2 linked regions of the Yarrowia lipolytica genome follow. The protein of the gene in region 1 interacts with the protein of each later gene in a pairwise test. Links are inferred from orthologs where the notes say so. Each region holds a gene or a part of one and is shown on either strand. Other genes may lie near its edges.

The links. The genes of interacting proteins can lie anywhere in the genome.
Region 2: the proteins of YALI1_F15403g (region 1) and YALI1_E04349g interact in a protein complementation assay, tested with the Saccharomyces cerevisiae proteins (2 studies listed by BioGRID). The link is inferred for Yarrowia lipolytica from reciprocal best matches to the Saccharomyces cerevisiae genes GPI18 and EMC5.

The regions. Positions count from the first base shown.
Region 1 is NC_090775.1:1,536,942-1,542,920, forward strand, and holds YALI1_F15403g (uncharacterized protein), read right to left. Parts: upstream 3,446-5,979; coding exon 2,372-3,445; downstream 1-2,371. Other genes in the region: YALI1_F15367g (uncharacterized protein), read left to right, coding at 1-709; YALI1_F15377g (uncharacterized protein), read left to right, coding at 764-908, 964-1,085; YALI1_F15387g (uncharacterized protein), read left to right, coding at 1,806-1,968, 2,041-2,252; YALI1_F15418g (uncharacterized protein), read left to right, coding at 4,861-5,661. UniProt on the Saccharomyces cerevisiae protein: Mannosyltransferase involved in glycosylphosphatidylinositol-anchor biosynthesis. Responsible for the transfer of the second mannose to the glycosylphosphatidylinositol during GPI precursor assembly.
Region 2 is NC_090774.1:431,864-437,380, reverse strand, and holds YALI1_E04349g (uncharacterized protein), read right to left. Parts: upstream 2,410-5,517; coding exon 2,284-2,409; intron 2,134-2,283; coding exon 1,909-2,133; downstream 1-1,908. Other genes in the region: YALI1_E04359g (uncharacterized protein), read right to left, coding at 1-1,468; YALI1_E04341g (uncharacterized protein), read left to right, coding at 3,239-5,517. UniProt on the Saccharomyces cerevisiae protein: Part of the endoplasmic reticulum membrane protein complex (EMC) that enables the energy-independent insertion into endoplasmic reticulum membranes of newly synthesized membrane proteins.

The DNA of each region.
Region 1 (5,979 bases):
ACAGGTTGGACATGTTCACCTTGGAGCTCTTGCTGGTGTTCTCGTCGAAGATGGAACAGCCGTATTCGGCAGCCCAGGGAGGGGTGTAAAGATGCAGAGAGACAGCCACCTCGGTTTCGCTGGGGTTTTTGATTCGATGCAGGCCGATTTTGTCGGACATGTAGGCCACCTGCTGCTCGGATCGAACAGACTCCTTGATGACCTTCATGGGGCCCTCGACACCTTCCTCGGGCCACTCGTAGAGAGTCTCCACCAGGTTGCCCTTGAGGATCTTCATGATGCAGTGGGCGTCGGCGTGGTCATGGATGCACGAGCCCTTTCCGGGGTTCCAAACCAGCAGAAGCAGGTTGGCCTTGTTGTTGATGTTGTCCACTCCGTTTCGGGTGTATCCTCGAGTGGGTTCTTCCAGAGCAAAGTCCTTCCACTCGGACTCGATGGAGTGGTACCGGGTCATGATGTCCATGAGGTCTTCGACGTTGACGTCATCGGAATCAATGCCGGACGACGGGCCCAGAATTGTTCGGATGCCCTCCTGGAGCATTTCAAACCCCGTCTGTCGCTCGTCTTCGGAGGACGACACAGAAAGCTTTCTGAGAATCTGCTCCGAGCACGGCAGCGCAATGCCCGCAGGCAGTTGCTTTCGGCCCTTTTCCAGCCGAGACTGCTGCTGTCGAGGAGGCGACATTTTGTCCAACACATTGTTGGATGACATGGACAGAGTGGGGGGAGGAGCCATGATGATAGTAATTAAGAGCGATAGAAAATGATACGGGGGTTTTTCTTTTTAATCAGTGCTTGGATAATGCAGGGCTCGATGGTCTTAGCGCTGCTGTCTTTGTGTGTGTGTGCTTGTGTTTTTTTTTTGGGTCTTGTTGGCTGGCGCTTTGTGATTTCGGGTCACGTGAAATGTTGCAATTCTGGAGCGTGAAATGACGTGCTCGCCCTCCCTACTTATACCCGCAGGCCTGGGGGATTTGTGTTTGTGTCGGACAAAGCAAAGGGGGGTAGTGTGGTGCAGCCAAACCTTAAAGACAGACTGCAGTGCGTTGGTTATGCAGAGTCCCGCCGAAAGAGAGCAATTTTAGAAAGTCTAAAAAAGCCACAGTTTGGATAGTATCAATGTAGTTGTGTGAGGAGAAATCACAAAACGGTACCAATGGCCCTTTGGTGCAGATGTGCCTGGCAGTTATATAATTTTAATCGTGGCTTTGTGGCGACTTGGTAGTCCATGTCGTGCTTGGGGGGATTCTGGGATGCTGGGCCGCTCGCGGGGCCCCTGTCAGGTGGAATGGAGCTTGCGGCATTTTCCGGCCACGACTTGCTACGGCGCTTCCCCAAGCGGCAAAACCCGTACCCTAAGTGGCTAGCTTTTTCACGTGGCTCAGCCCAGCCAATCGGATTCTTCAGCCACTGTGGCGAAGGTGGCTAAGGTTTGGTAGAGGTGGTTATGACTGAGCGAGACCGAGAGAGAGCGAGAGAAGGAAAAAACCCGAGAAAGACGGGCGAAAACCGAGATATCGGCGAAAGAACCGAGAATGAATTGGGAAAAGAGATAATCGGGTTGGCATGTTGGTGTACGCTCTTTGTTCGGGTGATAACAATGCTCGGATTGGTGTCGTTATCAAGAGCGCTGATATGTATGTACGGGAGCTAGCACCCCCTTTAACCCCTGAAAACTTCCTATAACAGACTTGCTGATCTGTTGTCCAATCTGCCAATGGAATGTGCAACCAGTACGGTACTTGCATCGTATACAATACGAGGACAGCCCCCCATTCATATCGGAAGCACCCGACAAAGAAAAGATGCACGATCGGAGATCTTCCAGGAGGTGGTTAGTAGTTATTGGTGGATGGTGGATGGTGGTTATTGGTTATTGGTGGTTATTGATTGACTCAGGTTTCAGGTGCGCCACAGAGGCTAGTGCTGAGACTACCGGTACGAGTGCCGGTACTGGTAATTGTACTAGTAGCGTCCGAGCTCGACACTTGTGCTCGTAGTGTCCTTGTACGCGTAGTGTCCTTGTGCTCGTGCCGCCAGTTCGTCATGCTCTAGTGTCGATTGCTTATTTTATTCTAGTCCATCCTTCTAATCTCAAAGATAAGGCTCCACCGTCTCAGACTCGGACTTCACCACCCCCCTCCGTCGCAGACTCAGACTCAGTAACTTCCATCTGTCACTGCTTCTGTCCCAAGCCCACCCTTGACATTGAACCATACCTTCCATGTCTCAGTCGATCTATCCATGCATAGACCGACCATGATGCTGCTGCTGTAGACAGCCGAGAATCACATTCCCCAATGACGACGGCCGCTCAGCTGGCTATCAGGGACGGCAACATCGCTTGCGCTCCTTCCCTACCCTCAGGTTCCTACGCAGGCGGCAAATAAGCACCCCACATGACCACCTGAAAGGTGATCCAGACGAAAATGTAGCGCACCACATAGTGCCCATTGTACCCCTGAGCCAGCTTGGCCATGTACCAGTACAGGGTCGGCAGACAGGTGGAGATACGGGTGATGATCTGAACATGCCACATGAAGACACACGCCAAACCCATGATGGCATGCACCGTGTAGAAAGGAACCAGCGACGGGTTGGTCGACATGGACTGGTACATGAGATAGAGCACTGGGGCGGCAAACAGAAAGTTGGGAATGTTGTTGGCCGTCCAGTATCTCAGGAAACCAACGTTCCAGTACCGCTGCTGAACATAGCCGTAGATGCTAGGAATGTAGTAGTTGCACCATTCGTCGCGCTCGGGACAGAAGATGGACCAGGGCAGGTACTGGGTGTACAGAAAGACCGCTCCAACCAGAGACCCGCCAATAACAACAGAAACTCCCCTGTTGAACTGGTTGTGCTTGATGGCAGAGGCCAGATCAAACAGAAAGGGGATTCCCCACAGCAGACCGTTGCCTCTTAGTAAGCAGGACGCTCCCAAAACTGCTCCTGCCAACGGGTACTGGCCCCGCTGTCTCAAGTACAAACCTGTGAACGACAGAAGCGCAAACAACGACTCGGTATATCCCGCCACCAGAAAAATGCCCGCCGGCGACAAGATGTACATGAGCGCGGTGGTTTCGGCAAACCGCTTGTTGTGGAAAACGGACTCGGTGAGTTTTCTGAGCATGAGGGCCGCCAGAAGATGACTCAGCGACGAGACGGCGATCGCCGTGTAGGCAATGGCGTCACGTGATCCGGCGAGTCCCAGAGCACGGGACCACATCCAGCTGAAGGCCCATTCGTGTTCGTACAGATGGGATCGCTCTGCGCTGGACACAAAAAACACAGAGTCCCAGATGACCAAACGCGACAGAAAACGGTTGTTGGGGAACAGCAAGGTCGAAGAGGTGTCATATTGCCGGGGGACCACGAGCGCAAGCGCTACCAAGTATGCCTTGATGGCCACAAACACCACAATGAGCGTTGTGAAATGTTTCATTAGTTGTGTCGAGGAGTCTGACAAGGTTCAGAGTTGAGAGTAAGATGCATCGGGGCATGTTGGGCAGGTGAAATGGGGGGAGTTTTTGTCTGTGAAGAGAATGGATGAGATGAGTGTGTTTGTGAGGATTGGACAAATACGATGGTTGTTTTGGATTCTCGATGCGATTTCCGTGGCGGGTTTTGGAGCAGTGTCTGAATGTGGATGCTATGCACTGAGCTGAGCTGAGAGGTGGGAGGAACAGAGTCGGAGGTGGGGATTTTTGTATGGGAAGTGGTTGAGATGTTGGTATCTTTGAACTCGCCAAGAGTGAAGAAATCCATTGAGATTAGTTTTGGAGTGCTGAGGGACTTGGATGTGCCGATATCAGTCCTTCTTATAGTGGTCTTATACAGAAACACGTGTTTTTTTTGGCGAGTTCTGGACAAAGCCATTGTGAGACAAAAACCGTCGATATATAGCTTGAAATGGGTCGGAAAATTGTCACACAGCCCTCGACTATCGTCTATGAGTGTCTGTATGTTTCTGAACACGTTTCAACCGACTCTCATTTGGATGTTATCTTTCTAACCAAATGTTAACTATAGGTTAGGAATACTTAACTAAATTAGACAGATTTGAATATCAAATACTGGTGGTAGGATGACAATTGAATAAACCCCCATTGGTACTGACCACCCAGAGAGAGCTTATGTAATCTAGCATGGAGAGAGGGCATTTATATATTTATATTTATATTTATGTTTATTTATTAATTTATAATTTATTTATAATTTATAATTTATATTTATATTTATATTTATATTTATATTTATATTTATATTTATATTTATATTTTTATTTTTTTTTTTATTATTTTATTTATATTATATTTTAATTTATTTTTATTTTTGTTTTTATTTTTATTTTTATTTTAAATTCTTTTAAACATACCCTCTGAACCAGCAACCAAGACAAGACAAGACAATCCACAAATACCAAACATCAATATCCAACCCGGGCCCATCTCTCCAATCTGACAAAATAAAACACCGAAATACCGGTTCGATTGTCATTTATCTCCGTCTGTTCCCCGATCAAAATCACTTTTTTCTGTCCTGCCTTTTTTGCACAATAATTTAAACTCGCAAGCACTCAGGCACCACAAATCACATGAATATGAGGCTACAAGAGTGTCTCTAAGAGCCGCCACGGTGTTTGAAACCACGCAAAAAGTGGAAAAATCGATTCAAACCGCCTCCCAGAATACCGCCACAGCCTCCCCCAACCGCAATTTCCCCCAATTCCTCCACAATCACCGCCCCAAATCTCGCCCATCTCCCCGCATAAGCAATCTGCAGACTCCTGCACAGCAATTGACGACTCATCATCAGCACCATCCAAGTAACTTCAACACATACACAAGTCCATCAACCATGTTCCGAACGCTTCAATCGCTGAAAACCGCCCGATTTCCGTCGGTCCAGATCCGCCAGATCACCGTGGGCACCGCCAACCCCCGCTACCACGTCCATCTGCTCGACAAAGACACCACGGATAAGTTCCGACAAAAGTTCAAGCATCTTCGAGACGTGGACTCTATCACCGCCACCGTGTCGCTTTCCCCGGACCCTCTGGCCGTCTTTTGCGCCTCCACGTCCATCTCTCCCATCAAGAAGACGCTTCTAGACCCCAAAGAATCGCCTCTAAGACACACCATCTATCGACCGGACGCCGATGAAGATCACACCCACAAGGAGACCCGAATCTACTCGCTCAAGGAGTTCCAGACCCTGTACGGCCAGGACTCCGTCACCGACGCCGATTGTCTCTCTAACCTGTACTGCGACCCCCGAGTGTTCGACAAAGGCAACTCCGACTTCCTCAAGGTGCTCAACGAGGTGCTCAAAAAGGACGCCTACAAGGACCCCCAGGTCAAGGACTTTGCTGCGGGCCAGGTCTTTTCTATTTTGCCTCCCCAGAAGCAAAAGAAGGGCTCTGCCCCCGGCGGAACCCTTTACATCCCCGTGTTTGACAACAGAAACCCCCCCATGCAGGCTCGAGTTCCCGACGTCCAGGACACCATGGGCATGATTGTGGTGGATTACGAGGGCAAGATCAACCCTGACACCTATGAGGAGAACTTCCAGTACAGAATCATCACTCCCGACGGACCCCCCCAGCTATCGGACTACATCTACCCCAAGGTGAAGAAGGTGTGCGAGGAGGCCAACTAACTGGCTGGACAGCAGTGAGAAGGGCCCCCTGACACCACAGAGCCCAATTGGCACGCATGTCTAAAACTACAACTACAACTATACAACTATAGACAGTTCATTACATTGACATAGAGGCAAAATCTCCAACAAGCGAACCTCAACCAACTGGTGGATGCTCAAGGATGAATCGCGTAGCCCAAACAACCATCAGATACATTTTCCTTGTTCAACACGACTATAGAAAGTAAGTGTAGGTCCTCCACTAGAAGATACCGTTGCGGGCAACTTGACGATATCGGAGAACAATATGATGGATATACAGCCACGGACCACTCT
Region 2 (5,517 bases), on another chromosome or scaffold:
GAACAGCCTTGGTGAAAGGTCGGTATTCGACATCGTGCTCCAGCAGAAGCGCCTCAGTCTCAGCCTGCTTGGACTCGATGGGACCAAGGTCTCGGCAAAAATGACCCTCGGGGTGTCTAGAGTCAGCGGGCCAAGAGTCCACGGCAACGACGATTCGTCGTCCCTGGAGAGCAGCGGCCTGTCGAGTTCTGATTCGAACTCGGGGCAGAGTCTTGTCCATGAGAGCAACCAGAACAGATCGAGGGCCTCGAGAGACGTCATCAATGATTGAGCCAGGAGCAATGTGACCAACGTAGTATCTCCAAGATCGCTTTATGATACCGACAACTCGAGCGGTAGGCTGGACTCGCTCAGCAGCATCGGCCTCGTTCTTGTGGGCCTTGAGGGCATCGTCAGCCAGCAGTTTCCGCTCAGACTCGCTCATGACGGTGTCTCCACTCTCCTCACCGCCCTCATTGGCAGCAAGATCTTCACTCTCAATCACACTCGTGGAGGGAGTTTTCCACTTGTCCTTTGGAAGAAGCTCCACGACAACCTGGTCACCAGAGAATGCACGGTTGAGAGACTGTCGGCCAAGAATCAAGAGAGGCTTTGGGTACGCCTTTGTGGAAACGGAACCCTCGAGAACATTGTAAGGGGATATGGTGAGGTTTCCCTGGAAAAGAGTGCCGTTCTTGATTCCTCCTAGAAGTCGAGACATGGGGTAGTATTCAGGGTAAAGCGCCTCGGACTTGCCGCTCTTGGGCTTGGCTCCCTCCTCCTCCTCAAGAGCTCGCTGAGGGATCATATCGATGAGCTGGCCGGGGTCCACAAGCTCGGAAACGTATCCCTTGAGACCGAGGGCAGTGATTCCCTCCTCCTTTGCCAATTTTCGGTTGTTGACATCATTGGAAAGCAGAACCACCTCGGGCGCGGTCCCGTTGTAGTCCTTACCAAGATGTTGGGTGTAAAATTCGCACACCTTTCTGATGGCTCTGTCGTTTCGGTCGTTGATGGACTCTCCCTTGTTTCGACCAACAGCAGTGTCCTTGCAGTATTCGTTATGAAAGACGTAGAACCGCTTGTCGTCGTTCTTGGTGAGGGCTCGCAGTCGCGCATAGATAGGCAGCGATCGGTTTCGCACTTCTTCCAGCACAATCTGGGGCACAATCACATCATAGAAGCCCTTGTCACTTTCCAGCAGATCGATACCGTCCAGGACAATGTTTGTGTCGACAACGAGGTAATGGGGGCCACGCTTGGTAGTTTTGTTAGGCTGGGTCTCGAGAATGGGCTCTTGTCGCTTTCCAGTGGCGTCAGCAACATACAGGTTGTTCTTGCAGTACTGACAGCCCTGGGACGAGCAGGGGATATCATCTCGAAGGTATTGCTCTCGAACGACCTTGGTGGCGTTGCCGGCCTTGGAAGTTCGCACAAACACCTTCTGCGATAACGTCGAATGGTTCGATGCTCGTTTCACAGCAGACATTGTGTTGTAGTTGTGATGAAGATAGATCTGAAGTTTACCCAACTCAATAATTTTTTATGCACTGCACTGATACTTGAAACTTAGTGCAAGCATGAAGGCGTTCCGGATCAGAGGTGGGAGAGAAGGAGAACAGTATAGAAGTATGATGCAATTAGTGACCCATTAAATACGTCGGTACGGTCGCATTATTTATGAATTCCACTGTTGACTCATATTACAAAATTGTAATCACTACACCTTCTTGTTTCAATTCTTAATTAATTCCGATGTTACAGTTGCAGAAGCTTCCATGGTTAGTAAAGTCTGACCATGCACGAGTGATTACGTACACATCATCTCTCAAAACCAATATCCGGCAACGTAACATACTAAATGATTATCTAGAAGCCGTGTACATCCATCATTATTCAATTATCAATATATTATCACAGATTCCCATTCTATTTTGTCTTCTGACCCTCCAAATGCTGAACTCGCAGGTTCTCAATCATGCCCGAATATGTCTGGAAACCAGACCGCTTCTCCAAATACAGGAAGGGATTCTCACCCTTGAGCTCAAGTTCGGAAGCAGCATCGGCGAACTTGACGGGCTTCAGAGTGCCGGCGATGCTGAGCACCGGAGTGAAACAAGCCAGAAAGACACCAATAAGCGCTTCGATTTTGATCTGGGTTAGTTGGGGGTAAAGACGGGCAATAAGTCGGACAGTCGATCGGCGTTAGGTAATTCAATCGCTTGAGTCATTCAATCGCTCTTCGTTGATTCCTTTAGTCGTTTTAGTCGTTGTGTCGTCTGTTCGTTGGTCTCATGAACTCACGTCAATGGGAACGGCTATTTTCTGGGCCATCAACTTGGCATTGTAGGAGGCCTCGTAGGCCGAGTAGCCGCTGTGGGCAATGAGCAACACAGCCAGGGTATACAGGGCAATCGAGGTGACCGCCATTTTTAGAGTCGTTAGGTGTGATGTTGGTGGACTGAACTTTGTATGCACCTGCTTACTGTACATACAGGACGATGCATGCAGAGGTGAGTGAGGTATGGCAGTGGCACACCACAAAGTATTGTACAAGTACAGTAGCTACCGTACAGTATGTACTGTGTGTACTCATTAAATAGCAAAGCCTTCATCTTTTATATCTATCCCAAAATACAGCTCTCTTCCCGTGCACCCCCCACAGAATTATCAGAGACGTCAGATCATGTGACTGCGAGTCTGAACAGCTTTTCAGTATGTACTGTAGTTCGCTTGGTCTCATATTGGGGGAATGAAAAGAAAGCGGTCAAGTTTGCAACATAGACAAGAGCTACCGAATAATTGTGTTACACTGTCAGGGTTACAAGTATCTGTATTTGTGCGATTCTTGTACGTACGTACACAGTATACTAGGTACTACCGGTGCTCATACCCGTACCGTATTGTACGATATCACCTCTTACGCACACTGTGTGAGTTCTGTACACCCTACCATTGCTACTGTGTAACAAGTCGCAAGGAGCATAACAACCACAATGGACCAGGATACACGACGACAGGAAAATAATATCAACAGGAGAGTTTTGGAGTTATCAGCAGGCACAAAATTGTGGACATTAGTCTTTTCTCTTTTCACTTGTCGGGTTGATACAGTTTGGCATTCCCGTAGGAGGCTCATATACTGTACCACCCCCCTCTCTCCAACATCCCATCCCATCCCCACTTTAGGTTAATTTCGTTGCTGCATCGCACCACCATATCTACTCATACCGCATAAAGGCATCGTTCGAACTCAGCCATGTTTCTACCTGTCGCTGACCAAGAGCTGGTGGCACAAATATGCAACCTGAGAGAGCTGTCACCCGACGCCCAGCTGGCAGCCTGCAAAGCCCTCAAAAACGAAATTATCGGCCATGACGAAAAGAAGACCCGCTACCTCGAATGTGACGGAGTGGTGGTCTCTCTGGTGCAGGTGCTCCAGGACGGACCCTGGTCCGAAGAGCTGCGCACCCAGGCGGCGGTGATCATCGCCTCCTTCACCTCTGGCTGTGCTCCGCTGGTGCTGAACGAATTTGTGCGGCTCGGAATACACAGAGTCATCGTCACTGCTATTGTGGAGGCTGACAGTCACAAGGTGCAGTACATGAGCGCGCTGCTGCGAACACTGGCTGCTCTGCTCAAGGTAAACGACACGGTGGCAAACGAATGCATCGAAGACTCGCCCCAGCTGCTCAAGGCCCTGTCGCACCACATTTCTGTGCCCTCAACACCCCTACCCGTCGTCTCTCTATGCACTCCTCTTGTTCCGCTACTGGGACGTTCTCGCCCTGGAGTGCAACGGCTAGGAGAAGACCTCAGCGAACCCCTTGCTGCTCGTATCCTTTTACTCACCCAACAGTATCTTTCCCAAAGAGATCGAATCCCCTCTATCTACACAGAACCCCTGGCGTCAGCAGTTTTTGCACTGAGCCATGTGGTTCGCCACAGCTTAGCAATGAAACTGCTGGAGGGAGAGGTGGGGACTGCGGGCACCAACTGGAGCTCCGGACGTCTCCTACAAGACCTCTTCTTGCTACTACGAGCAGGAGACACCCAAGTGCGACTGGCTGTCTGCTTCCTGTTTTCTAACCTGCATCTGCATATGCCAGCATCACAACAGCTCGAGATTGCCCGGCCTCTATTACCTGTTCTAGTGCCCATGCTGTCCGGTCCAGAAGACACCGACCCCCGAGTGTGCAAGACTCTAGCCCTCCTCTGTCGAGACCATATAGATATGGCAACCTTGGCTGCTGAGGCCCGTGTCATCGAACTGGCATGCACTCTGGTGACTTCCAGGGTACCTGAAGTCGAGCCCTCTAACCACTGCAACCAGCTGGAAGAAGTCATTGCTGATGCTCTTCTTCTAGTGGCAGCTATTGGAATGCATAAGGACTCCTTCAGAGCTCGAATTGTCGACTGTGGGGTCTTGTCGCATGTCATCAAGATTATGCGAATGAAGACACCTCCATCTGGAGACCCTCGAGCTCGAGCGGTGCGAAAGATGAAAATTTCGTCATGTTACCTTGTTCGAGCTCTTTCTCGAAGTGTATCGTTGCTGCGAACTGGATTTGTTGACGAAGAGGTTGTAGAAGGTATCATCGAGCTTCTGGACGAGACTCCCTCGGAACCAGTGAACGCAGAGCCTGATAACATGGATCAAACAGAGGACGGAGAGTCTCCTAACATTGAAGATCTGGAGGTCAAGGCTGCCATCATGGCGTCCATGTGCAACCTCATTCTTCCCTTTTCGCCCTTTAAGAAGAACATTTTTGAACGAGGTGTATTGCAATCGATTATCGCTGGTGTCAACTCCGACTATACTCCTCTGCGACTCAACTCCACCTGGGCTTTGAGACACGCAGTGCTGCCGCCTGACAACGACGACAGACTTATTGAGGAGGCAATGGGACTGTTGACTTGCAAACGTCTGCTGACCTTGCTCGGTGATACTGATATCGAAGTCCAGGAGCAGGCCCACGAGTTGATACGGAACCTGATGATGAAACAGGCCAACTTTGTTGAGGTCTTCTTTTCCCAGGTGGAGGCTCGTGAGTTCATGCAGCTCCTTGAGAACAAGATTGATATCATATCTCGCCAGCATACCGAGACTGTGGCCGAGAACACAGCCACTCACTCGTCTTCACAGATCAAGCTTGCCAAGACTGTCAATGAGAAGCGCCAGGTATACACACGCATGCTCAGTGCCATCATTTACACTCTGGCCCATATTGCTGCGGGCCCCGAGGAGTTCCGATTCATGTTGATTGAGCAGGAGTCTATTCTTGTCAAGGTTGCCGAGTTCACTGGCCATCGACATTACGATGTGCGTGCTGCATGTGCGTGGTTGGTCATCAACCTGACCTACGTGGACAATAACAACGACCGTGAGTGTCGTGAGGGCGCTAAGCGACGAGCTCGTGCTCTTGTCAAACTGGGCTACAAGGAGAAGTTGGATGCGCAACTGCGTGATCCATCTTTGGATGTTGCCGAGCGAACCAAGAACGCACTCATTACGCTTGAGTGGCTGTTGAACGAGAA